Linked DNA regions of Arabidopsis thaliana. The protein of the gene in region 1 interacts with the protein of each later gene in a pairwise test. Each region holds a gene or a part of one and is shown in the gene's direction. Other genes may lie near its edges.

Evidence for each region.
Region 2: the proteins of SHI (region 1) and AT1G16640 interact in a two-hybrid assay, tested with the Arabidopsis thaliana proteins (one large-scale study listed by BioGRID).
Region 3: the proteins of SHI (region 1) and AT2G21530 interact in a two-hybrid assay, tested with the Arabidopsis thaliana proteins (one large-scale study listed by BioGRID).

The regions. Positions count from the first base shown.
Region 1 is NC_003076.8:26,501,189-26,510,370, reverse strand, and holds SHI (Lateral root primordium (LRP) protein-like protein), read left to right. Parts: upstream 1-3,561; 5' UTR 3,562-4,227; coding exon 4,228-4,849; intron 4,850-5,283; coding exon 5,284-5,625; coding exon of another isoform or gene 5,626-5,657; exon of another isoform or gene 5,658-5,853; coding exon of another isoform or gene 5,854-5,870; exon of another isoform or gene 5,871-6,430; intron 6,431-7,032; exon of another isoform or gene 7,033-7,083; coding exon 7,084-7,115; 3' UTR 7,116-7,217; downstream 7,218-9,182. Other genes in the region: DIM1B (Ribosomal RNA adenine dimethylase family protein), read right to left, coding at 1-42; AT5G66340 (uncharacterized protein), read right to left, coding at 7,218-7,329, 7,473-7,606, 7,846-7,869; AT5G66330 (Leucine-rich repeat (LRR) family protein), read left to right, coding at 8,584-9,182. UniProt on the Arabidopsis thaliana protein: Transcription activator that binds DNA on 5'-ACTCTAC-3' and promotes auxin homeostasis-regulating gene expression (e.g. YUC genes), as well as genes affecting stamen development, cell expansion and timing of flowering.
Region 2 is NC_003070.9:5,682,836-5,689,627, forward strand, and holds AT1G16640 (AP2/B3-like transcriptional factor family protein), read left to right. Parts: upstream 1-3,689; 5' UTR 3,690-3,927; coding exon 3,928-3,993; intron 3,994-4,359; coding exon 4,360-4,698; 3' UTR 4,699-4,892; downstream 4,893-6,792. Other genes in the region: AT1G16630 (uncharacterized protein), read right to left, coding at 1-1,914; AT1G16650 (S-adenosyl-L-methionine-dependent methyltransferases superfamily protein), read left to right, coding at 5,159-5,281, 5,360-5,455, 5,560-5,643, 5,738-5,812, 6,162-6,266, 6,476-6,615, 6,777-6,792.
Region 3 is NC_003071.7:9,215,617-9,222,529, forward strand, and holds AT2G21530 (SMAD/FHA domain-containing protein), read left to right. Parts: upstream 1-3,635; 5' UTR 3,636-3,755; coding exon 3,756-4,032; intron 4,033-4,127; coding exon 4,128-4,192; intron 4,193-4,277; coding exon 4,278-4,338; intron 4,339-4,530; coding exon 4,531-4,677; intron 4,678-4,768; coding exon 4,769-4,848; 3' UTR 4,849-4,992; downstream 4,993-6,913. Other genes in the region: AT2G21520 (Sec14p-like phosphatidylinositol transfer family protein), read left to right, coding at 340-373, 592-1,007, 1,082-1,348, 1,427-1,504, 1,582-1,683, 1,772-1,821, 1,922-2,021, 2,112-2,210 and 3 more; SFH3 (SEC14-like 3), read right to left, coding at 5,215-5,229, 5,330-5,401, 5,576-5,925, 6,127-6,238, 6,327-6,344, 6,423-6,512, 6,597-6,696, 6,782-6,831.

The DNA.
Region 1 (9,182 bases):
ATTGATTTTGATGAGCGTTTGGTCTTTCAATCGAAGAATCATCACTTTGCTTCAGTCACGAAATATAGCTCGGCGTCGTTATCATCCCACGAAATCGCCGGTGACAGGAATCCAAAGCGGAAACTTCCGAGCGTTTGAAGGAGATCCTTGTGGCCTTGTGGGCCAATTGTTTATATGCTTCTCAAATATTCCTTTAGCCCAAGGCCCAATTATTTTTTATTTCTTCACGACGCTTATCTTAATTCTTAATCATCCAATTGGCGTAGACTTTTACTTATATGTACATCCATAGATTGATTGATTGTAAAATAAAAGAAAAAGAACAAAAAATGATGGATATAGAATTTTGGACCACGCTAGTGGACTACGTACTCAAATGGTAACGTGAGAGCCATGAAGTCGTCTAATTATTTGGAAGAACATAAAGTTTGAAAATTCATATAATCTTGAAAAGAAAGCATGACGTTGCCAAGTTACTATTCTCGTCGGTGTAATTGCTATCTCTTTTCTACATGATCGGACGGTATATATGCTTCCTTTTGTCCCTTCCATCCAAATTTTGATTTATTGTGTAAACATATATATCTTTCAGTTGATTTTTTCATTATCATGACATCTGTCAACACTCTCTACTTTACATTATATCACCTCAGTCACACACCACTCTTTTCTTGATTAATTCCCTATGGTACTCATATGAAAATGTTAAAATTAAGCAAAATAAACACACACAAAAAACAAAATAATGTGTATTATCACATGAAAAAGCGTCACAATTCGATTCAGTTTCTTTTGGTGTTTTTATTTCTCCTATGATGGATACATGTGTTGAAAACTGTATCAGCTTCAGAAGAACATGCTATAAATATAAAGGCTAGCCTTATAATTTAGGGTTTGTAACTTCGGAATTAACAATAATAGAGTAATTAAGAAAATTAGGCGTGAAAAATAGTGGTCCACTTTTTTTACAGCAGCCTCTATACTATAACTTTGATACCACCCTTCGTTTCTAGTGTGGGGGATTTTCAATAACCCATGAGCACCCGATCTATCAACTTAGTTATATCTTGCCATTTTTCAACATACAACAGCAAAACTGTTTTGGTTGAGTTTTGCGAGTTTGTTATGTGATTCACGTTTGTTTTAGTGAAATTTTGGGTTAAAGTAAGTCGAGTGGATTATATAAGTAGATTTTGTCGCATCTAATAACTCAGTTGATATATCAGCTTAGAAAGACTATACGCGTCTCTGCATGTGCATGAGCATGAGCATGAGCATGGCATTTGGAGGAACCATGACTCCACTTCCTTGGGACCCACATGAACCAAATCACTCTCTATGTTTTTTCTTTCTTCCTTTATTCAATGATGCAATCTTCTCTTGAGCAATGAGAAACATATAATCATTAATATACATAAATGTAAAGGGGGCCTTTGAAGGTGAAATGGGATCCATATGGAACACATAGTTTATGAAATCTATTTCTGAAAACGGATATGTAGTATATAAAAAAGTGTACATTTCATTTAAGTTTTACCCAACTTTGCAGCTTCTCAAGAGATTTTGTGGTGAAAGACAGTCTTTGTTTATTATTTTGTGAAGAGATACAGAATACACATAAATTACTATTGAGTAAAGGAGGATGCAAGGGGGAAAAAAGTTGCAAGAATCTCTAAGCTCCGTTATTGGCTCCAAAGAAAAGAAACATAACCCACCAAATCTTTTATGTCCTTTTTCAGTTTCAAAGTTGAAGAGAAAAGGAGAGATTTAAAAGAGTGTAGAAGAGCAATGAATGGGTGAAAGTGAAAAAAACAAATCAGTGCGTGCTTCTTTTGTAGTAAACACTCTTCTCTTTCTGCCTATGTAAGAAAAATATATATTAAGAAGTGATTTTCTCTTTATTGGTAATAATGTGTAATTGTGTACAAGTGATATTTAGAAGCCAACAAACACTATGCTCCAAACTTACTTTTCTTTATTCTCTAGTTTATAAAGTTCTTTCCACATTTCCATGTTTTCTTATTGATAATGGGCATAACATACATTCTAAATCTCCAAAAGATGGTACCGGGGTCAAGTAGAATGGTAGATGACTAGATGCGTTTGAAGTGCAGATATTTGGCAGAAAAGGTAGTGGAAACAATTTCAACGTTTTTAGAAAAATTGCTAGGACATGAAATGGAAGGTTAAATAGTTAAGAAAATGTTAGTAACTTTACCTAAATTTGTATAAATTATGACACTGAAAACTTAAAGAAAAGAAGAACACAGTGCTCGAGAAGATACTTTAAACCTTTTCTTTTGGAAAAAAAAGACTATTCTATTTGTACTAATTTCAAGATTCAAACTCCAAAATAAAAGAAATTTAATAGTTTTGGCTCATGGTGAGTCTTTCATTATGCGAGTTTGTTGCTATTTGCAAAGATAATCGATGTTACCAATACATTTGGAATTTATGGATTTGTAATTTAGTTATATACAAGAATAAAATCCGAGAGAATGTCACTGTCCCTTTTGCCCACTCCCTCTCTTAATTTCTCGGTCCTAAATGATTGCATATATTCATCGAACTCTATCCCCAATTTTCTTCTCCTCTATTTCAGTCACTCATAATTTTTGCATTCAACAAAGTACAAACCCTCACATACATTAAGATTGTCATAACAAGAAAACCATTAAAACATCCAAATTGATTTCTGAAATTTACAGCTTCTAGATCAAATTTAAAGTTGTCTTTTATACTCTATTTCATAGATACACATTAACATTGTTTACAATACGGTGAAGAGGTTGGATAGATGATTTTGCTGATTGTTTATGTCAACAATAACTTTCATCCATTTCATAAATACATGTATTTTTTACAACCTCACTTTCATTAAATGTATTCTCTCTTTTACACAACAGTGGGTATTTCCACTAGGAAATGACTATAGTGCCCCTCTTCTTATTAGTCAACTCTCCATATCCTTTTGGAAAAATCCATGAACTATCTTCAGTTTTTTACTTTGTCTGTAGTTTGATATTCTGAAACAACTGAAATTCGTTAAAATTTGGAATGATTAATTGGTCAATTAAATTAAGATTCATGGGGTATAGGTATACGGGACAATTGATATACATCAGTGTATGTATTGTATACATAATTAAATATTTTAATACTATCAGGTGTTCATTATTAAAGTTTGTATATATAATGATAAAAATAACAGAGTAGTAATTTGCTTCCTTGGAAACATGGATAAGCAACTGTTTTCCAGCTGCGAACTTTAGGCACTTAATTTTAAAGTCACAGGTATACACTACGCAACCAAAGCAAGATTTCGCTAATAATAATTAAAATTGCATCGAATCTAACTAAAGAATCTAAAAATACAAGTATACCCAGTCCCCAACGTTGTGTAGGACGATATATGATTATAAAGTTTTAGTTTAGATATTACATAACTATAGATTTCTCATAAATAAAGAAATCTTCCGTTCATTTCACTAAAATATCGTTCGAACAAATAATACACAGATTAATATCTAAACGTAAATCATATAAACAAATAGTGTAGGATTTAATTATAGTAGCATTTTGGCAAACACAAACAGACAAACAAAGGAAGAGGCAGCGTGTTTTCCGGTAGAGAAAAGACGGAGAGAGTAAAAGCCGAAGTTGTAAACGTGGCAACATATTGACCGCAGGATCTAAAACACGTGATGATCAACGGTAAGATATATCTTGTCCGAGAAGTGTTTTGTGATATTAATTGGTGTAAGGAAAATCTGGAAAACAAACAAAAAAGAAAAGAGAGACAGAGAATTTAATAAGAGAGGAAGAGTATTAAGGTGATGGCGGCGTTGCAGAGCGCGAGACAGAGAAAGAAACCTCTCTGAGATACATCTCTCTCTCTCTCTCTATCCCCTCTTAAATACACTCCATACCGACAAACCAACTTTTTTCTCAGTACTAAAAGAAACCTCTATTCGATTTCTAAACAAACCCTAGATATAGACTACTCTACATTCTTCCATTAAGTTAATCTCTTTCGTCTTCTTCTTCTTCATCCTCTCATAATTAAAGATCTCTATCAAGAGAGAGATCTTTTATTGTCTTCTTCTGTTAAAATCTTTTGATAGATCTTCACTCTCTGAAAGTCAAGATCTTAGTCTAGGCAAGTAAATATGTGGTAAAGCAAAGCCCTTCTTGAAATTGGTCATATATGGCTGGTGGTATCGGAAAATGGCAGGATTTTTCTCGTTAGGACACGGCGGAGGAGGAAACACTCCAGACAACCACAGAACAAACACTAATAATCCTTCTTCATCGGGAACAGAATCTTGGCTTTGGTGCAGAAACCCTAACTCTAACGCTGACGGTGGAGAAGCTGGTCCTTCTTACAAAGGAACCCTTGAGCTATGGCAACACCCAAACAATCAAGAAATCATTTTCCAGCAGCAGCAGCAACAGCAACAAAGGCTGGATCTTTACACTTCCGCTGCGGGTTTAGGTGTTGGACCGAGCAACCGGAGCTTAATTGAAACTTCCGGCGGTGCGTTGATGATGATGAGAAGCGGTAGCGGTAGCGGCGGACCAAGCTGCCAGGATTGTGGGAATCAATCTAAGAAAGACTGCTCTCACATGAGATGTAGGACTTGCTGCAAGAGCCGTGGCCTTGACTGTCCCACTCACGTGAAGAGCACGTGGGTTCCTGCCGCTAAACGCCGAGAACGCCAGCAGCAGCTTTCTACCGGTCAGCAACCGCAGCAACTGGGAGGGAGCGTCCCTAAACGACAGAGAGAGCGTATCCCGGCGAGATCGACTTCCATGGCCTACACTCGTATACCTTCTAACAACACTTCAGGTATTTCATAATATCTCTTTATGGTTATTCACCCCTGAATGAAAATTAAAGTAATGAGCTTTGAATAACTTGAGTTATTAGTTTCAATTGCAGAAACAGAAACCCTATTTTGATCAGCTTTTTTTGTTCTTCTTTTTTCATTTTCAAGAAAAAAAAAAGGTGAACGATTTTCTTCTTCCTATTTTTTTTTTTTAATATGGAAATACTGTAGATCAGTAAGACTGACTCTTGGAATGACAGGAAGAAACTGTTCTCACTGATCTTGATATTTGTGTTTATATCCTGTAATTATTAAGTTTTTGTTTATTTGTTTGTTAATGCTGTAATTATTAATTTGAGTTAAGATAAAAACAAACAAACAAATCATACGTTGAAAATACTCCTACGATTTTTTCTTATAATTAACAATAATTAATTAAATGTTTTCTATCTAGGGTTGGAGGTTGGGAATTTTCCGCCGGAAGTTAGCTCGTCGGCAGTTTTTCGGTGCGTGCGTGTGAGTTCCGTAGATGATGAAGAAGAAGAGTATGCATATAAAACAGCTGTGAGTATAGGCGGTCACGTCTTCAAAGGTGTTCTCTACGATCAAGGCCCGGCCGAGAGAAGCTCCTCGGGCGGTGGATCTCAGCCGTTGAATCTCATAACCGCAGGCCCATCGGCCTCATCATCAAGCCCAAACGTGAGCTGCAACAATGGAGTCGTTGGCTCCACTTCAGATCATTATATCGATCCTGCCTCACTTAATTATCCTACTCCCATTAACACTTTCATGACTGGTACGCACTTCTTCTCCAACTCAAGATCTTGAATTCCACACAGAGAGAGTACAACAAATCATAACTTTTTTTTAGATTCTTACGGTAGAATTAGGGTTTTAAAACATCTTCGGAGGTGAAGATTATAACGTACTAATCTTGGTTTTCAAAAGTAATTAACTAAGGGAGATAATGTTCTATTAAAACAATTGTTACCTGATCTTTTATTATTAAGTTCAAATTTTGTAGGTATAATGTTAATGTAATAGTATACTCCAATTTTCAACTGTTACAAAAGTCAACGACCCTGTCTCTGTGAAAGCTCACATCAAAAGCAAGATTTGCAGCTGGCAGTTTTCAACTGTGATCGTTAAACTCAGCCTTGTTTTATTGTCAGCTTTTCACATTACTCTTTTTTTAGGTTTACTTTAACATTAATTTACCTTTCAAATTACTACTTTAGGTCAATTAATTGCAATTATGATTTGCCTGTAGAAATATTAATGTGAAAAACAAGGTTACAAAATTGAAATTTGGGTGAAGACATGTATTTAGGTGTCTTGTGCTTTTGGTCAACAAATCAGACACACTAGCACAGGTATATCGTTCGTCTACGACTACTATATATCCGGCAATATGCCATACCCTAATCTTAAGTTTTATTCAGTTTGAGCCGTTTTTAAAGTGATGCTCTCATTCCTATGATTGATATAATGTCAGTACACTTACATTTGAAGAGAGACTTACTGCCACATCCGACTCTTTACATTATTTTTTATATATATATATCCTGATAGCCAGTTTCTCCATATTTCTATCTTACATAGTTTTCACATCGTACGTTACGGTGTATTTTTTAGCCACATCTGAAGGGGCTTTACTATACAAATCTCAAATGCAATCCCCAAAATCTGACAAGCAGTGAGACTGTATGTGTATTTTGATTCTTTTGTTACAACGAGTGAGGCTGTAAATTCGGCAGATTATGAGTGAGTGGGGGAACAGAAAAAGGTGTAAAATTGGTATGCATCTTTATTTCTGCAGGTGTTTATGTTTGGACCTAAAAAAACTCTTCTTTCCCAATTCATTTCTTAGGCTCTCTTTTTCATTATTCAATTTACGTCACCTCAAGAAAGCCATGATGATAACGAGATGCAAAAAGAATCGGAAAACGAGCTAACATTATAATAACTCATTAGGATTAAAATTTAATTAAGTGTTGCATGGAGTTGTGAAGACTTGTAAAAAAGATGCACACAAATCATGCATTTTGTGATTTACATTTATATCATTCTATAATTGAATTGGTCCCATTAAACCTTAAACAGCTAATCCCACCTTGCTTATGCTGATTTGTCCCCGATTATTTCCTCCGTACTACTCGCACCATGTCTTCGAAATTTCTCTTTTGGAAAACCTAAGTTGCTTTTTATTTTCTTGGTCAAGCAAGACTCAAGAGTTTGATGTTGTTGCACGTAGAAAGGATCTTGAAGACGGATGTCGGATGGTGATAAAAGCAGCAACTTTAAACTCCGAACGCAAGTGGGGCCTTAGGAAATTTCACTGTGAACCAATAAGAGAGTAACACGTCTGAGGGACAATTTGCAATTCCATCATTGCATTTCAAGGGGACAAAACAGAAGCCTCAGGTCCACAGCATCAAGCTTTCCAAACCGAATTTTTAATTTGAGTGTCGCAGGCTCGCTGCATAAAGAGAAGACGACACTGTAGTCCTCAGTGACCAAATAATGAAGTAGCCCAAAACTAAGCCATGCTGTTGCTGGGTAAAACAAAACTACTAAGCCCTAGAGGTATGGGCCTCTGTTTTTCTCTCTCCATGAGACTCACGAGCAAATCACATAACTAACTTTGGATACATTCGACTCTGTTCCTGATCCACTCTTCTCTCCCCTGTTTGTCTTTCTCCATTATCTCTTCTTCCGGAGACTGGAAAGATGGCATTGGGCAACAAACGCACTTCGTCGACGATTTCAATAGTAATCTGGATAAGCATAAATCACAGCTTAGAGGAAAATAGAAGGTCAGAGAAGAGAGTATCGTGATCGATGTAAGCACTAGTTTCTGCTTTGTAATTGTGCATCTTTCTAACTATTATAGGGATGGTCTTTGAGTTCAAGATTAACAAAGAAACAGTGAGACAATTATTCGTTAAGAACAACATACCGACGAAAAGCAAGGACGACAACAAATTCAGATGGTGCCAATAGATTATGTTAGTACCTTTTGTTTTACCAATCTCTGCATAGTCTTAGTGACCCGTTAGGATGATTTAGTGTCCCACATGGCTTAGGTTTAGAGTTTTAGACACCTAACGCTAATGAGTGATCCTATCATATATGAACATTTTCGTCGTCTTCCATAGATTTAAAGTTAGTTAGAGCCAATGATTTGGAACCTTTGCTTGCAACAGCTGCACATTCATTAACCCATCAACCTTGCTTCCTGTAAGGCTATAATTACTTCTTCTATCTATGTCATCAACCAAGACTAGTTTAGATTTTGACAACTTCTGGTCAAATGGGTACGTCACATATGGGAGAAAATGAAATAAATTGTAAAGTTTATTAGTCAATTTATGACATGTGAATTGGTAATATGTCAAATAATCCTAAATCAAGAGTTGTTCTGCTTTGGAATCTCAACAGAATCTAAAACTCATAACCTCTGAGTTATGGTGGATGGGGATAGGGCCAACCACACCTCACTGTACAGATGTTGTTGTCTTCACGCATATGTCTGATGGACAATGACACACATGATATAAATTTACACTATCTATTTTAATATCTCAATCTCTCTATATATAAATTCCTCTGTCTTTCAAGTTTCAGAGCAACTTTCTGTAGATCTATCACACGCCTTGACCCTCTCATCCAACGGTCATTATTCACTCCAAACCCACTCTGCTTCTTCTTCTTCCAAACATCTCTCAGCAGAGCTAACCATCTCTCTTTTGTAATGGCTTCACTTATTTCCCTTGTTCTTCTTCTTTTGCTCACTTTATCTTCAGCAGAGTCCAAGACTTTCTGGGGTGACGTGGCAGCTCTCAAAGACTTCAAGAACTCAGTGGATGCCAAATCCATGAGTCCAGGCTCTTGCCTGAGTTCTTGGGATTTCTCCGTCGATCCCTGCGACAATATATTCAGCGACACATTCACTTGTGGGTTCCGCTGCGACTCCGTCGTTACCGGATCGGGTCGGGTCACGGAGCTCAGTCTGGACCAAGCCGGTTACTCAGGCTCCCTCTCCTCCGTCTCTTTCAACCTTCCTTATCTCCAGACCCTCGATCTCTCCGGCAACTACTTCTCCGGTCCACTTCCCGACTCGCTCTCCAATCTCACCCGTCTCACCCGCCTCACTGTGTCCGGAAACTCCTTTTCCGGATCCATACCCGATTCAGTCGGGTCAATGACGGTTCTTGAGGAGCTCGTGCTAGACAGCAACCGCCTCTACGGCTCCATTCCGGCGAGCTTCAATGGCCTTTCCAGCCTGAAACGACTGGAAATCCAGCTAAACAACATCTCCGGCGAATTCCCTGATCTGAGCTCACTCAAAAA
Region 2 (6,792 bases), on another chromosome or scaffold:
ACCGTCATGTTCAACATCTGTAGCTTCTTCTGAAACACTGAGGCTACCTCCAGCAATTTCCCCAACACCTTCTTCTTCTTGTACAGTTTCAACATTGGCTACTCCGGTTTGTTCTTGCTGGTTACTACTGATTGCAGCAGACTGCACATCGTCAAGCAGTTGTGCGTCGGATTCAGCTTCTTCCATGTTATTCTGGTCATTTTCTTCATATTCTTCCTGCCCTTCAACAACATCAGTTTCTTGGCCACCATGTCCTTCTTCAGAAAGAGATTCTGAATACCTTTCACCTCCGTTCACCTCTGTATCTGTAGCTATCTTGATCTCAGCCTGCTCATCACATTCATCAACAATTTCTAAGTTTACCTTTCCTTCTTCATTCTCCTGCTCGACTTCATTATCATCTTCTTCGTAGACAGCTTCAAGACTGATTTCACCACTGTTTTCCGATTCTTCTTCAGGTTCCTGATGACCAACATTCACTTCTTCTATATCCACTTCTAAGCTATCCACTATGAACCCATCAACAATGATTTCAACACTAGTTGACTGGAAAACAGCATCAGACAACCTTTTGTCTTCCAAAAGAACTGTCAAGTTATGAAATTGAAAAGGAACACTTCCCTCCTCTTCTCGTAGACTTGAGACCAGCTTATCAAGATACACAAATGATGATTCTGCCCACATCCTCAGCTTTGCACCCAACTGCTCAAAGTTCTCGCTAGCAGACATTATGATCTCTGGAGAGATGTTAAACTGATAGAAAGGTGAATCTGTGATGGTTTGTTGAGAAAACGTCGTTGAAGAAACCAACAACAGATACGCCACACCAAGAGCCAAAATCCAACCAAGCAACATGGATGTCTTGCTGAAACGAGACTGTTTTGAAATCTGATGAGTTTCTTCTTCTTCAATGCTTTCGCCAACTACTACTTCTTCTTCTTCATCATCACTCTCTACAGCTTCCAAACGCTCTTCACCATCAACATCCAGAATTTCCTCTGCGGCTTCCAAACGCTCTTCACCATCATCTTCTTGTTCTTCTACTGCAACTACACCTTCCTGAGAAGCAACTTCCTCCTCTTGTTGACCTTCCTCCTCTCGTTCTGCAGACAAATCAGTGTCAGAAGAAGAGCTTTCAGAGATGAAAAGCTCCTCAAGCTGCTTGCACTCATCAGAACGATGCTCAATTTTTGGATTTGGCTTATAATGGAGAAACTGAGGCCTCGGTGACAAGTAATTCTTCTTTGGATCATAAGGTGCCACCACTGGATCCACTTCATGAGACTCAAACACAGGAAATGTGCATGGAACATAAGGAGGAAGAGGACTGATCTTGAAGCTTGAATTATCATTACTCTTCCTCTCAAGAATCTCATCGAAATCACTGACAGTAATATCATGTGATTCCTCTTCACGAAGCTGCTTAGTTTCATCGATGCAAATCTGGTCTACATCTTTATCTTCCCCAATGATGCTTATCACATCAGAAAACGAGACAGACGACTTTACCTGAACCTGGTGATGGGATTTGTCAAAGGATCGAGACACTTCGTTTTTATCAGACAAGATCTTCTTCCTCGGCGATGGATTGATCTTGGAAACGGCTGAAATTGTCGGTGACATGAAATGCTTGGAACCTTTTGTTGGACCTTTGACGACATTAGCGATTTGATCCTTGTCGTTCTGATTCTCTTTATCACCAATCTCAACACGATTACTGCATTCTCTACCGATTGAGTTTCTCCGGGACGGATCTGCCGAAAATGGATTGCCTCGGAAACTGCGACGCATCAGATCTCCGGTTTCCGAGTTTCTTTGCTTAGGGTTTGGTCTGGAAGGCATTGAAGGCGAAGAGGAAGAGAATAGAGAAGAAGGAGAAACAGAGATCTTGTTCTTTGCTGGAGAAGACGCCATGAATGAAAATCACTCCGGAAATCAGAATGGGTTATTTAACAAATCTCAGATTTTTTGCGCTCGTTAAAGGAAAGAAAATATGCAAGAATCTGCAAGATTGTGAATGTAAAAAGTTCCTAAGTTTTTGAATTTTTAAAAGAGAGAGAGATAGAGAGATCGTAACGGCTAGTTGCCAATTTGCGATTTATTTATACATAGTGGATAGAAAAATCCCTAATAATTTTAAGTATTGCAAATTGATTCTGATTTTGACCATTTTTCACTGATACCCTAGTTTTCCAAATTTCTGTTATCTCCCCATAAATTTAAGATCTATCTAAATGCCCCATGCTTATTAAAGACTTCACAACGTAAGATTTGATTCCTCTTTCTTCCTGTAAAGTTGTTAAATTTATAAACGTGGATATTTATGGACAATGTAGAAACAGTGGGAAGAAATTAATGATTCTCAAAACCTTGGGGTTCAAATTAAAACAAAATTTCAATTTCTGTAGCCGGAAAATAGAGCAGACGATGTAACTGGGCCGCCACGATGATGACACGTCTGATCGCAGAGAATAAACTAGCCGTTATGGGCTCTCGTAAAGGGTAAGAGACGTTAATCAACCTATTAAAAAGACAGGTAAATCAGAAAAGCAGGCTTTGGGCCCGTCCACTGATGGAAAAAGTGAAAGCACCAATTATGTTGAAGGTTTTTACTTAACGGGCTTTTGACTGACATTAAAGAAAATTTGGTCATCGGCTAACTAAATAGGCCCAGTTTACATTATTTTCTGAGTTCCAATGAAATAAAATCCTTTTCTAAAAGTCATCCTCAAATACCACATCTGTGTGAACCTCATCGACACAAATCAGAATATCTTTCATAATTTTATGGATTTATAACTTATTTTGCGATTATCTGCGAAAGTGATTAATTAAGATGAGTGTTCATGTTGCAGAACTAATCGTTTTCGGAATAACTACCATCAAAATAGTTCTAGACAATTGTTACAATTACGTTTCTAGATTAATTTAGTCCATGAGAATTGAATTCTGAGGGGATTACTTTTCCTTCTTTCAGGCCAAATTTTTGCTATTGAATATCAACCTGTTGATATGAGTTAAATCTGCATTATGACTTATGAACGCAAACGAAGAAAAAAATACCAAATCAATTTAACAACAGAAATAACAATCAGAACTTTGGTATGAAATACTTAGAACCAAATCAACCAATGATGAATTTTTCTCAATCGATTTAAGGCAAATTGAGACAAAACTAAAAGATCCGACAAAATCCGATTCTGAGAAAACAAAATCAACGATTTCATACTAAAAGAAAAGGATTTAAGGGAGAGCGAGATTCAGATGGTAGTGCATGATGGTAAGATCATCAATGATGGTCAGAGTTGGATTGTTCTATGGAATCATCTTTCATCATCATTATCACCGCTCTCTCCTCTTTATTAAGAGTAAAACATCGACTTTAAATCTAAGAAAACACAACACAATAGACAAAATAACTTCTAAATTTTTCCCTAGAAAATAGTAATGAAGCTTCGAGAAAACACTGAATTTCTAGAGCAGACGCTGTTTCGAAGAATTCTGAGTCGTACATCAAAAGATTTGAGGTCTTTAAATAGTGGAGAGAACTCTAGGGTTTTAAGTTGGATCTTCTAGGTCGATAGGATTTGTCTCAGCTCGTTATTGGGCTATTGGGCTGTATAATTTGGCCCAATAGTAATAAGAGTTTGGTTTTGTACTTTTTGTATGGTGTGGCCTTGTAGAATAGAAAAGCAGTGATTGGTCAAAAGGTGGCAAGTTGTTTGACTATGACATCAATTCCTCATTTCATCTTTTTGATTTACAGAGAAAATTGAAATAGTCCACTCGGGACCATTGAAGCTCTCTCTCTGTTTCTGCATTACAAAAAGTGTTTGTTTTCAAGGTTTCTCTCTTTCACTTCTCTTTGTTTTCTTCATTTCAATTTCTGGATTTTGCTTGTAGCTACATTTGGTCTCACTCTATTCCATGGCTGACACTGGTGAGGTTCAATTTATGAAGCCTTTCATCTCAGAAAAGTCATCTAAATCATTGGTGAGCATGGCTCTCTATCTTTCTTCTTTTTTATTTTCTTATTTCAACAAGTTCAAAATATGTGTTTAGTGTTCTGATTTGGAGACTTATGGTTTAGGGTAAATTGCTTTAGTTCATTTTCATGGAGCTAATAACTTAGGTCCTTTAATTGCTTTTGTTAGCTTTAAATTAGCAAAAAGCAAATGAAAGCTTACTGAATCTTGCTAGATTTAGAATGAAGTTTATGTGTTGGTGTTGTTATAGGCTGCTTGAACCAAACATTTCTGCGGGGCTGAAAAGTGAAAAATAGCAAGTCCATTGTTTCTACGTTGCTGCTCTTGGAATGTCTCCTGAGAGTTGTTTTTTTATATATAAATGTTTGATTAGGAAATCCCCTTGGGATTCAACGAATACTTCCCAGCACCATTTCCAATAACTGTGGACCTCCTGGACTATAGTGGGAGATCTTGGACGGTTAGGATGAAGAAAAGAGGAGAGAAAGTGTTTCTTACAGTTGGTTGGGAGAATTTTGTAAAAGATAACAATCTCGAAGATGGCAAGTATTTGCAGTTCATCTATGACCGCGACAGGACCTTTTATGTTATCATATATGGTCATAACATGTGTAGCGAATATAGAGACTTCCCTCAAGTCGCAGTAGAGGTTGATGACTATGAAAACGGTGAAGAAGAAGAAGACGGCGACGATCAAGACAAACATCAGTAACTAAAATTTGGGTCTACTTTAAGTTGCTTTAAGTTTAAGTAGTCAGTTTTCATGTTGGATTTATGTAACCAGTTGTTTAGTTTAAATATTACGAATACTAGTATTTGCTTTCTGCTACATTCTTTGGAACATGGTTTAAAAGATTTACTGTGTATTGCTATCATTTTTGTGATAATTGTATTTGGTGAAGTAGAGTGTTAATACAAGAGAATGAGAGGAAGTGTAGGAGGGGGCATGAGTCAAAACCTTCCGGTGCAGTTAGAGTCTCTTGAAGACTCGGCCACGTGACAATATGGGTGTATTGACAACAGAATAAATAAATGTGGGCTAAATTGAATAAATTAAAATTTACGAGGTATTTTTAGAAAACATTTTGACGGTTAAAAGCAAGTGTTTGCTGTTTGGTTGGCTTTTGGCGGCGGAAACTAGAATCGTTGCTGCTACTCAGGTCATCGGGATAATGAAGAGCAATAAGTTTTCTTGCAAAACGAGAGCCGAAACCCTAGAATGGATCACAGCCATTATCGATTTCCTTAAACCGTTTTCTTTCCTAATCAATGCTCACGTTGTCAATTTCTTCAAGGTATGATCGATTATCGGAAACAATTTTAAATTCAGCTTCGAGTTGGGTTATGAGTTGATTGATGGGTTTGTATTCCAGGATAAGCAATGGGAAGCTGTTAATGAGGAATGGATGAGTTGCTTAAAGGATGAGAAGCCGGAAAATATTCTTCTTATTCCCTCCGGTGGTGTCCAGGTAAAGTTCTGGTCTCAGTCTTCATGATTGAGATATTTGATAGAAAGGGTAGATTTTTATTTTAGTTTGGAAAGGAGATGATTGATTATAGTATTTGATTATAGGATCACTGGCCTGCTTCACTAAAGAAATTTGTTCACACGTTGAGGTCTCTATCGTTTCCTCGAGAGCAAGCGGATTTACAGGCGGTATTGTATTCTCTTTACCTGTTTGTGCTGTTTCAGGATTAGTATTTTTAGATCCTAGACTAAATAAAGTTTAATCATTTTCGACTGTTGGCAGATACTCGCAGACGTGGATATGGTACCTCTTAGCACCGTTCTTTCACAGGGCATGAATCTTAAGAAAAAACATGAGGTACATTTTTATCTTCACACTTCACTATCCAGAGGTGCAAGTCGTGTCTTTCAATGATGTCTTGTTTTGGTAGGAATTTCAGTAGATTGCATCTGGTGACTAATCCCAATCCAAGAACCTTAAATTCAAAAGAGAGTATATATTTTTTTTGTAGCTGTTCAAGTCTTTTTACCATCAAATTCTGGCAAAGTTATCTGCCACTTCACGCGTAAAACATGAAATTGAGGATCATTAACAGCTCATAGCATTTTATATAAAAGTTTCTTAGTACAAAACTTATGTTTGTTTAAACGTAAGGTATTTGTCAAATGTATCTTATACTGGCCACTTCATTTGAATGGATCTGTAGGTCACTTATTATGGTATCATGCAGGTTGAAGTTCTTTCCTCTGTTGTTAGCTCAGTTGTTAAGAGTGTTGGAGCTCCTACTGTTGTTGATGTCGGTGCTGGCCAGGTATCTTCAATCCCTTTCTCTTGTTTAACTATCAATCTTAATTGCATGGTTCCTTTTTCTCGTCTGCATTGGTGAATTCTCTTTTTGGCTGTTTAAGGAATATTTCGAGTGATGGTTTTTCTTTCATATCAGAGTTTTAGTAACTTTGTAGTATATTATAGCTTTCCTAAAGTGTGTTAAATAACATCATTGGTAAATGTTTTGTCCAGGGTTATCTAGCGCAGGTTCTCTCTTTCCAATATAAGCACTCAGTGGTTGCAATCGATTCTTCCTCTCATCATGGAAAGGTAACAGATGCACGCGCAGCACGCATAAAAAAGCATTTTGCAGCACAGATGCGTAAATCTGGGTAAGGGGTTAGCTCATTATAAGTTTATTTCAAACCTTTACCAAGTATCAGATGTCTCTTTCCATTTTTAGCTTGAAGAGTCGCTCATTGTTTTCCTAATTCTTTGTGCACAGTTCTGGTATTTTAGACTTGTGAATGCTACTTAACCTCTTCTCTGTTAGTTCAGGAAACAAGTGC
Region 3 (6,913 bases), on another chromosome or scaffold:
TACAAACTTCTCTATAACAAAAATCTACTACTATTAAAAAATAATTAAATTCGAGAGGCAGTTTAGGTGAGAAGAAACTGAGAAAGTTCGGTCCGAATTCTAATCCCACTTTTGTCTCTCAATTTGTTTCCCCTTTCTCTCTCTCTCTCTCCTTCAAATTTTTTTAGCGATTTTTCTGGGTTTCATGTAAATGTGAGAAGTAGATAGATTCTCAACAAGAAAAAAAGGTTTTTTTTTTTTTTTTTTTTGGATTCGTGGATCAGCCATCTTCTCGAAAGATTTGGGAAAGATCCAAAGAATCACAATATTTTTTCGATATTTAGTCGAAAGGAATTTAACATGTCAGGTCCACTTGATCGATTTGCAAGACCATGTAAGAGATCTCAATCTTCTTTGTAATGTTCTTGCTTCTGGGTTAGCTTTTTTCTAGGTTTACTGTAGCTTAAACTTGGAATTGTGTCTAATATAATAATGAGAATCTAAAAATTGTGTCTCTTTGCTTTCTCGTGTCTTCAATATATGTTGTTGAGCTGGTTAAATAATGTGTATTGCTTTAGATAATTTTTAATGTGTCTCATCAAATCAAAACAGCTTTCACTACAGGTTTTGAGGGATTCTTGAGCAGTGATGAGAAAAAGGAAAGAAAGTCAGATTTTGAGAATTCAGAGGATGAGAGGAGAACAAGAATCGGTTCCTTGAAAAAGAAAGCCATTAATGCCTCTACTAAGTTCAAGCATTCTCTTAAGAAAAAGAGCGGAAGAAGAAAAAGTGATGGTCGAGTGAGTTCTGTATCCATTGAGGATGTGAGGGATGTCGAGGAGCTACAAGCTGTTGATGCGTTTCGACAGTCGTTGTTAATGGACGAGTTGCTTCCTGATAGACACGATGATTATCATATGATGTTGAGGTTCTTGAAAGCGAGGAAATTTGATGTTGAGAAAGCTAAACAAATGTGGGCTGATATGATTCAATGGAGGAAAGAGTTTGGTACTGACACTATTATTCAGGTATGCTATTAAATAGAAGATAGTAGTTTAAACCATTGTTGTCTGTTTTTGTAACGTTTTATTTCTCTCGTTAGGATTTTGATTTCGAAGAGATTAATGAAGTTTTGAAACATTACCCACAATGTTATCACGGTGTTGACAAAGAAGGTAGACCTATTTACATTGAAAGGCTAGGGAAAGTTGATCCTAACAGACTCATGCAAGTTACAAGCATGGATCGATATGTAAGATATCATGTAAAGGAGTTTGAGAGGAGCTTTATGATCAAGTTTCCTTCCTGCACTATTTCTGCAAAGAGGCATATTGATTCAAGTACAACTATTCTTGATGTTCAAGGAGTGGTAAGTATTTTCTACAGTTCATGATATTAGTTGTGAAATGAGTTTTTTTCTCATGTGTTTATATAACTTCATATTCAGGGATTGAAAAACTTTAACAAGTCTGCTCGAGATCTTATCACACGATTACAAAAGATTGATGGAGACAATTATCCTGAGGTATTAGTTAATTGGAGCTTCTAATACTTGATCTCAGGTATCAAATGCTAATCTTGGCTTTGTGGTATTTCATGCAGACTCTCCACCAAATGTTTATTATCAATGCAGGGCCTGGATTTAGGCTACTCTGGAACACTGTCAAGAGCTTTCTTGACCCTAAGACATCTGCTAAAATTCATGTATGAGAGATCTAAGTTATATCTCTATTTAAAAGTCTTGTCTTTGATTATATAGAATTCAATATGGACTATTCTATTGTTTATGTAGGTACTCGGATACAAGTATCTAAGCAAATTGCTTGAAGTCATTGATGTCAAGTATGTGAACCTTGACCCACCCTTATTTGATCTGTTCTATCGAAAGCTGCACGTTTTTTTGTTTTTGCTTATGTTCAAAATGGTCTGCACTTTTTTATAGCGAGTTGCCTGAGTTCTTGGGAGGTGCATGTACTTGCGCAGATCAAGGCGGTTGCATGCTTTCTGACAAGGGACCTTGGAAAAACCCGGAAATTGTGAAGGTCATTTACTTAGACTAATCTCTTTTTGGATTCTATTTGTATCATCCAAGTTGGAATCTGAGACATTTGGTTTTCTTCTCATTATTTCAGATGGTGCTTCATGGAGGAGCACATCGAGCGAGGCAGGTGGTGAAAGTGTTGAACAGCGAAGGGAAAGTCATTGCTTATGCAAAACCTTCATATACATGGGTACGTAGTTATTAAATCCTATAACTAGTCAATCTTTAACTTGTGGCTGACCATATTGTGCCTAAACTCTGCTCTGTCATAAACATAGATAAAGGGAAGTGACACATCCACTGCAGAGTCAGGATCTGACGCTGAAGATATCGGTTCTCCGAAGGCTATAAAGAGTTTCTCTCATCTCCGCTTGACACCTGTTCGTGAGGAGGTAACTTTTTTCTCTTTCTTTCTATCTTCTAGTTGGGGAAGTAGTAGATGTTTATCCTGAGGCTTTGCAGGCAAAGATAGCTGGTGAAACAAGCTTGGCTGGTAGTTTTCCGGGTTATGACGAGTATGTACCTATGGTGGACAAAGCCGTTGACGCCACCTGGAAGGTGAAACCCGCCATCCAGAGAGTTGCCTCAAGAGGTTAGTTAGTTAGCTGCTATATGCTTTACGTACCAGTAGGCTCCGGTTTAGAACCAAATACTGAAGGAAAAGAATTTAACCTAATCCTTGTTTACATAGGATTTATTTTCTTATTAGGATTGTTTTGGAGTTGGTTATAAAAACAGAGTTTTTTTGGTCTTTCTTTGTTTGGTGATCTTAACTCTTATCTGTTTCCTTCAGGAGCTTTAATGTCTCCCACCGTTCCAAAAGATCATGAAGGCATCAAGGCTCGAGTCCTAGTAATGTTCATGGCATTCTTGATGGCGGTTTTCACATTCTTCCGCACTGTAACAAAGAAACTTCCAGCGACTACTACTTCTTCCCCAGCAGAAACCCAAGGAAACGCAATAGAACTTGGTTCTAACGGTGAAGGAGTTAAAGAGGAGTGTCGTCCTCCTTCTCCTGTACCAGACCTCACGGAAACTGATCTACTAAACTGTGTGACGAAGAAACTGACAGAGCTGGAAGGTAAAATCGGAACGCTCCAATCAAAGCCAAATGAGATGCCATACGAGAAAGAAGAACTGTTAAACGCAGCCGTCTGCAGAGTAGACGCACTTGAAGCAGAGCTCATAGCTACTAAAAAGGCCCTTTACGAAGCTTTGATGAGACAGGAAGAGTTACTTGCTTACATTGATCGTCAAGAAGAAGCTCAGTTCCAGAAGATGAAGAAGAAGAAGAAGAAACATCTCTTTTGCTTCTGAAGCAAAGCCAAGAAAAACCAGCACCAGGCATCAAAATCTCCCTCTTTCGTAATTCGCTGTTCTTAAGTATAAACAACAAAACAAAACAAAAACTCTTATATCTGATTTGATGTTAAAGCTAATACAGAGAGCTCTGTTTCCTTCTGTGATTATGAGCCACTTTATATTATATGTTTTATTTTTATAATCATAAAAAAATCTGTAACTGTAAACTTGTTAATGCAAAACGAAAAAAGAGTATCGAAATTATTAATCAGGATTCTGTTTTTTTTTAGGATTTTGTTTTTATCCAGATACAAGATATTGTAGCCACATATCCCATATAGTGATTATCTCTTAACGTATCTCAAAAGTTTTTGCATTTTTCTTTACTTCATATTTTGTTTTTGTAAGATCAATCAGTTTTTATGAAGAGAAAATGGAGATAACAATATCCCAATTGTGCTCTCGAGTTAAGTTTTCATCATCATCATCATCATCATCACTTTTCTGTTTCTATGGAAACAGTAATAGAAACAACCTAAATGGAGCTGTTTCAGTAAACTGCTTGAGAGAGAATGAGCAGATCAGTAATATTAGCTTCATTGCGAAGAAACCAAGAAGTCATGCACCGGTGGTGAGAACAACACGCGCCTCCTTGGATGAGAATCAATCCCCAACTTCCGGAGGAGAACGGTGGCTTCTCAAACCAGTTGGTCAGAGGCTATTTTTTTGTTTCTCTAGGTTTAATATCAATGAGCTTCTTTAATCTTTTTGAGTCTTGAAAGTCTTTTTGCCTGAAAACTTATAGGCGATGGAGACACAAGACACATTGGTTACAAAGTGGCAATGCCTGCTCCTTTTGAGATCTCCTCTGTAAGAAACTATACATTCCACTAGATTGATTGATTTTGATGAGTTTTTAGTTTTTGCTAAGATCACAAAAATGGGTATTGAGCAGGGCCAAGTTACCATCGGACGGCTACCGGAAAAGGCTGACGTCGTGATTCCTGTTGCCACCGGTATTTCTCTGTTCTTGTGGTTTTCGGTTTTCTTGAATTTGTAATCAAAGTGAATTTGGTTTTAATATGAATCAATTTGATATAGTTTTGGTTTCGGGTTTAGGTTCGGATTCGGTACTAGATTTTCGATTGTAGATGGTTTATTGCTTTAGTTTGGATCAGAATCCAACACTCCTAGTCTTTTAACCTCAGTGTCAGGAGTCCATGCGACAATCAATACGAATGAAAAGAACCTTCTTGTGACGGATATGAACAGCACCAACGGTACATTCATCGAAGACAAACGTCTAATTCCTGGTGTTGCTGCTCCTGCCTTTCCCGGAACACGAATCACCTTTGGTACACCAATCTTTTCGCATGATTTTCCATCTCTCTCTCTGTGAATGTGATGGACCGATCAATGAGGTTAAACTCTTTGTGTGACTTGCAGGAGATACAAATCTAGCAATTTTCCGTGTTTTCAAGCTCCAAGATAGTGAAGAATCCATAGAGAAACCAACTACAGAGTAACACAAAACCCGAGAATTGCTTATCTTTGCTTGCAATTAACCGGTTTTTGTTGAAATTCTAAGTTGTTTTACAACATTGTTGATTTATATATATATGAACAATAGCTTTTTATATAATATTATAACATATATATTTTTGTTTTTGGTACGTTACAAATTAGGTGTGAAAGAATTGATAAGTGGTAAACATAAGCTTTCAGATATTTCCAGAGGGACAAACAACAAAACATTTACAGAAAGAAAATTTCCCACATTTTTATCTGTAAAAACTCTTCACGAATAATATTTATGTTTATATATATAATAAATATGGATTTATATATATTTTTCCAGGTTTCTTCAAAGTCTTGAGGCATTATCAAGTCTTTCAGAATCCAAAGAACTGAAAACAAAAACAAAAAAAACATATAAATACGTAAACAAAATCAAGTACGAATAAATCTTGAAAAAGAGTGTTTTAAAATGTGTTAGTTTGTTGTTACCTTCTTCTTCTTTTTCTTCTTGTCGATATAAGCCATTATCACATGCTGCGTTGCCATGGTTTCCTCCAGCGTCTGAATTTTCAACAAAATAAAATTGATTTATAACAGGATTATGAAAATGGTCTAAATTTTAGATCAAAAGAATTAAAATAGCTTTTAACTTTTATAAATGAACAAAATAGTCTAAATTCAAACTTCTAAACTCTAAAATAAGAAACTAGTTATGGAGGCTGTTTAACTTTGTACCTTTTTGGTCTGAGCCAACTGAAGCTCTAGCTCGTCGACACGGCTGAGAGCAGCGGTGAGAATCTGTTCTTTCTCTGGCGAGAACGCTGCAGGCTGATTGTCCAAAGACCTACATTTCTCCTCCAACTCGGCCATTCTCTTCACCATCGACATATACTCTTGGTTTGACACCATTGTAGTCTCTGCTTTGTCCACTTCACCACCGTAAATGGCAGCCTCAGTGAGCTTCCTTGGCATGTTCTTCGTTAGCCTCACCACAGTCATTAACCCCATCACCAAAGACATCACTCCCCCGAATAAATAACCTTCTCCTCCTCTCCTCTGCGATGGCTTCACGGCAGAGTATAAATCTGCGACGGCAAGAACACATTTAGGTAATAAGTGGTATTCTTGTTGAAGAGTGTAGCGGTATAGTATAATAGCAGAATCTCTTTTCAAAGACATGAAACTATGATGAATGTTTGGAATGGTAATAAAAAAAAGAATCATGTTTTCAAAACGTGAAAACACGAATAAATTTAGTGTAGTGTCAATGTTTCAATGTAGTGTACCTTCAGGTTCAGGATAGTTTGACTTGTGGAGATTTGTAGGCCATGTAGAAGCATTCACAGTTTTGTCAATCATCGGTATGAATTTTGTGTTCTCTGCATCGAATTTGTTCTTCTGCCAATAGGATTTTCAAAATCAGTCATACAGAGAAAGAGAGAGCTAAAGAAGTAACCTTTATTATTGACAAAAGAGAGAAACTCACCGCAAAGGAATCAGATTTCTTCAAGCAAAAATATGAGAATGTTAGATATTACTGTAAATTTTAAAGATCAAAGATATTTTTGTATTTTGCTTTTACCATTGTTGTGTTCTCGTCCACTGAGATTGTCTTCTCTTCAATGTTTGACAAAGTCTTCCTTGGGCACTTTCCTTCTCCGTTCTGAACCATCTGTATATAGTTCAAGATTCAGCTTCTCAGTTCATCGTTTCGTTAAACGGTTTTCGAAGATTCTCTACTTATCCTACAAATTACCTTGAAGATGTCAGGGTCGTTCCATGGACCTTTGTCAGAACGCATACATCCACCTTTGTCTGCACAAGTGCAGTTACCACCCAAGAACTCAGGAAGTTCACTAAACACAAATAAAGAACAGATAGTTTTCAGATTACGAATTTGCAGCTAAAATGCAGAGTTATGGAGCTCTGTTACTCTCTTACTTGGAGTCGATAATCTCAAGCAGCTTGCTTTGGTATTTGTTGCCAAGAACCTGTACATGAGGGACATGAGATTTCGGACAACCGTAGACCTTAAAGTTTGGATCTTTGAAGTGACACAAAACAGAAAAAAAG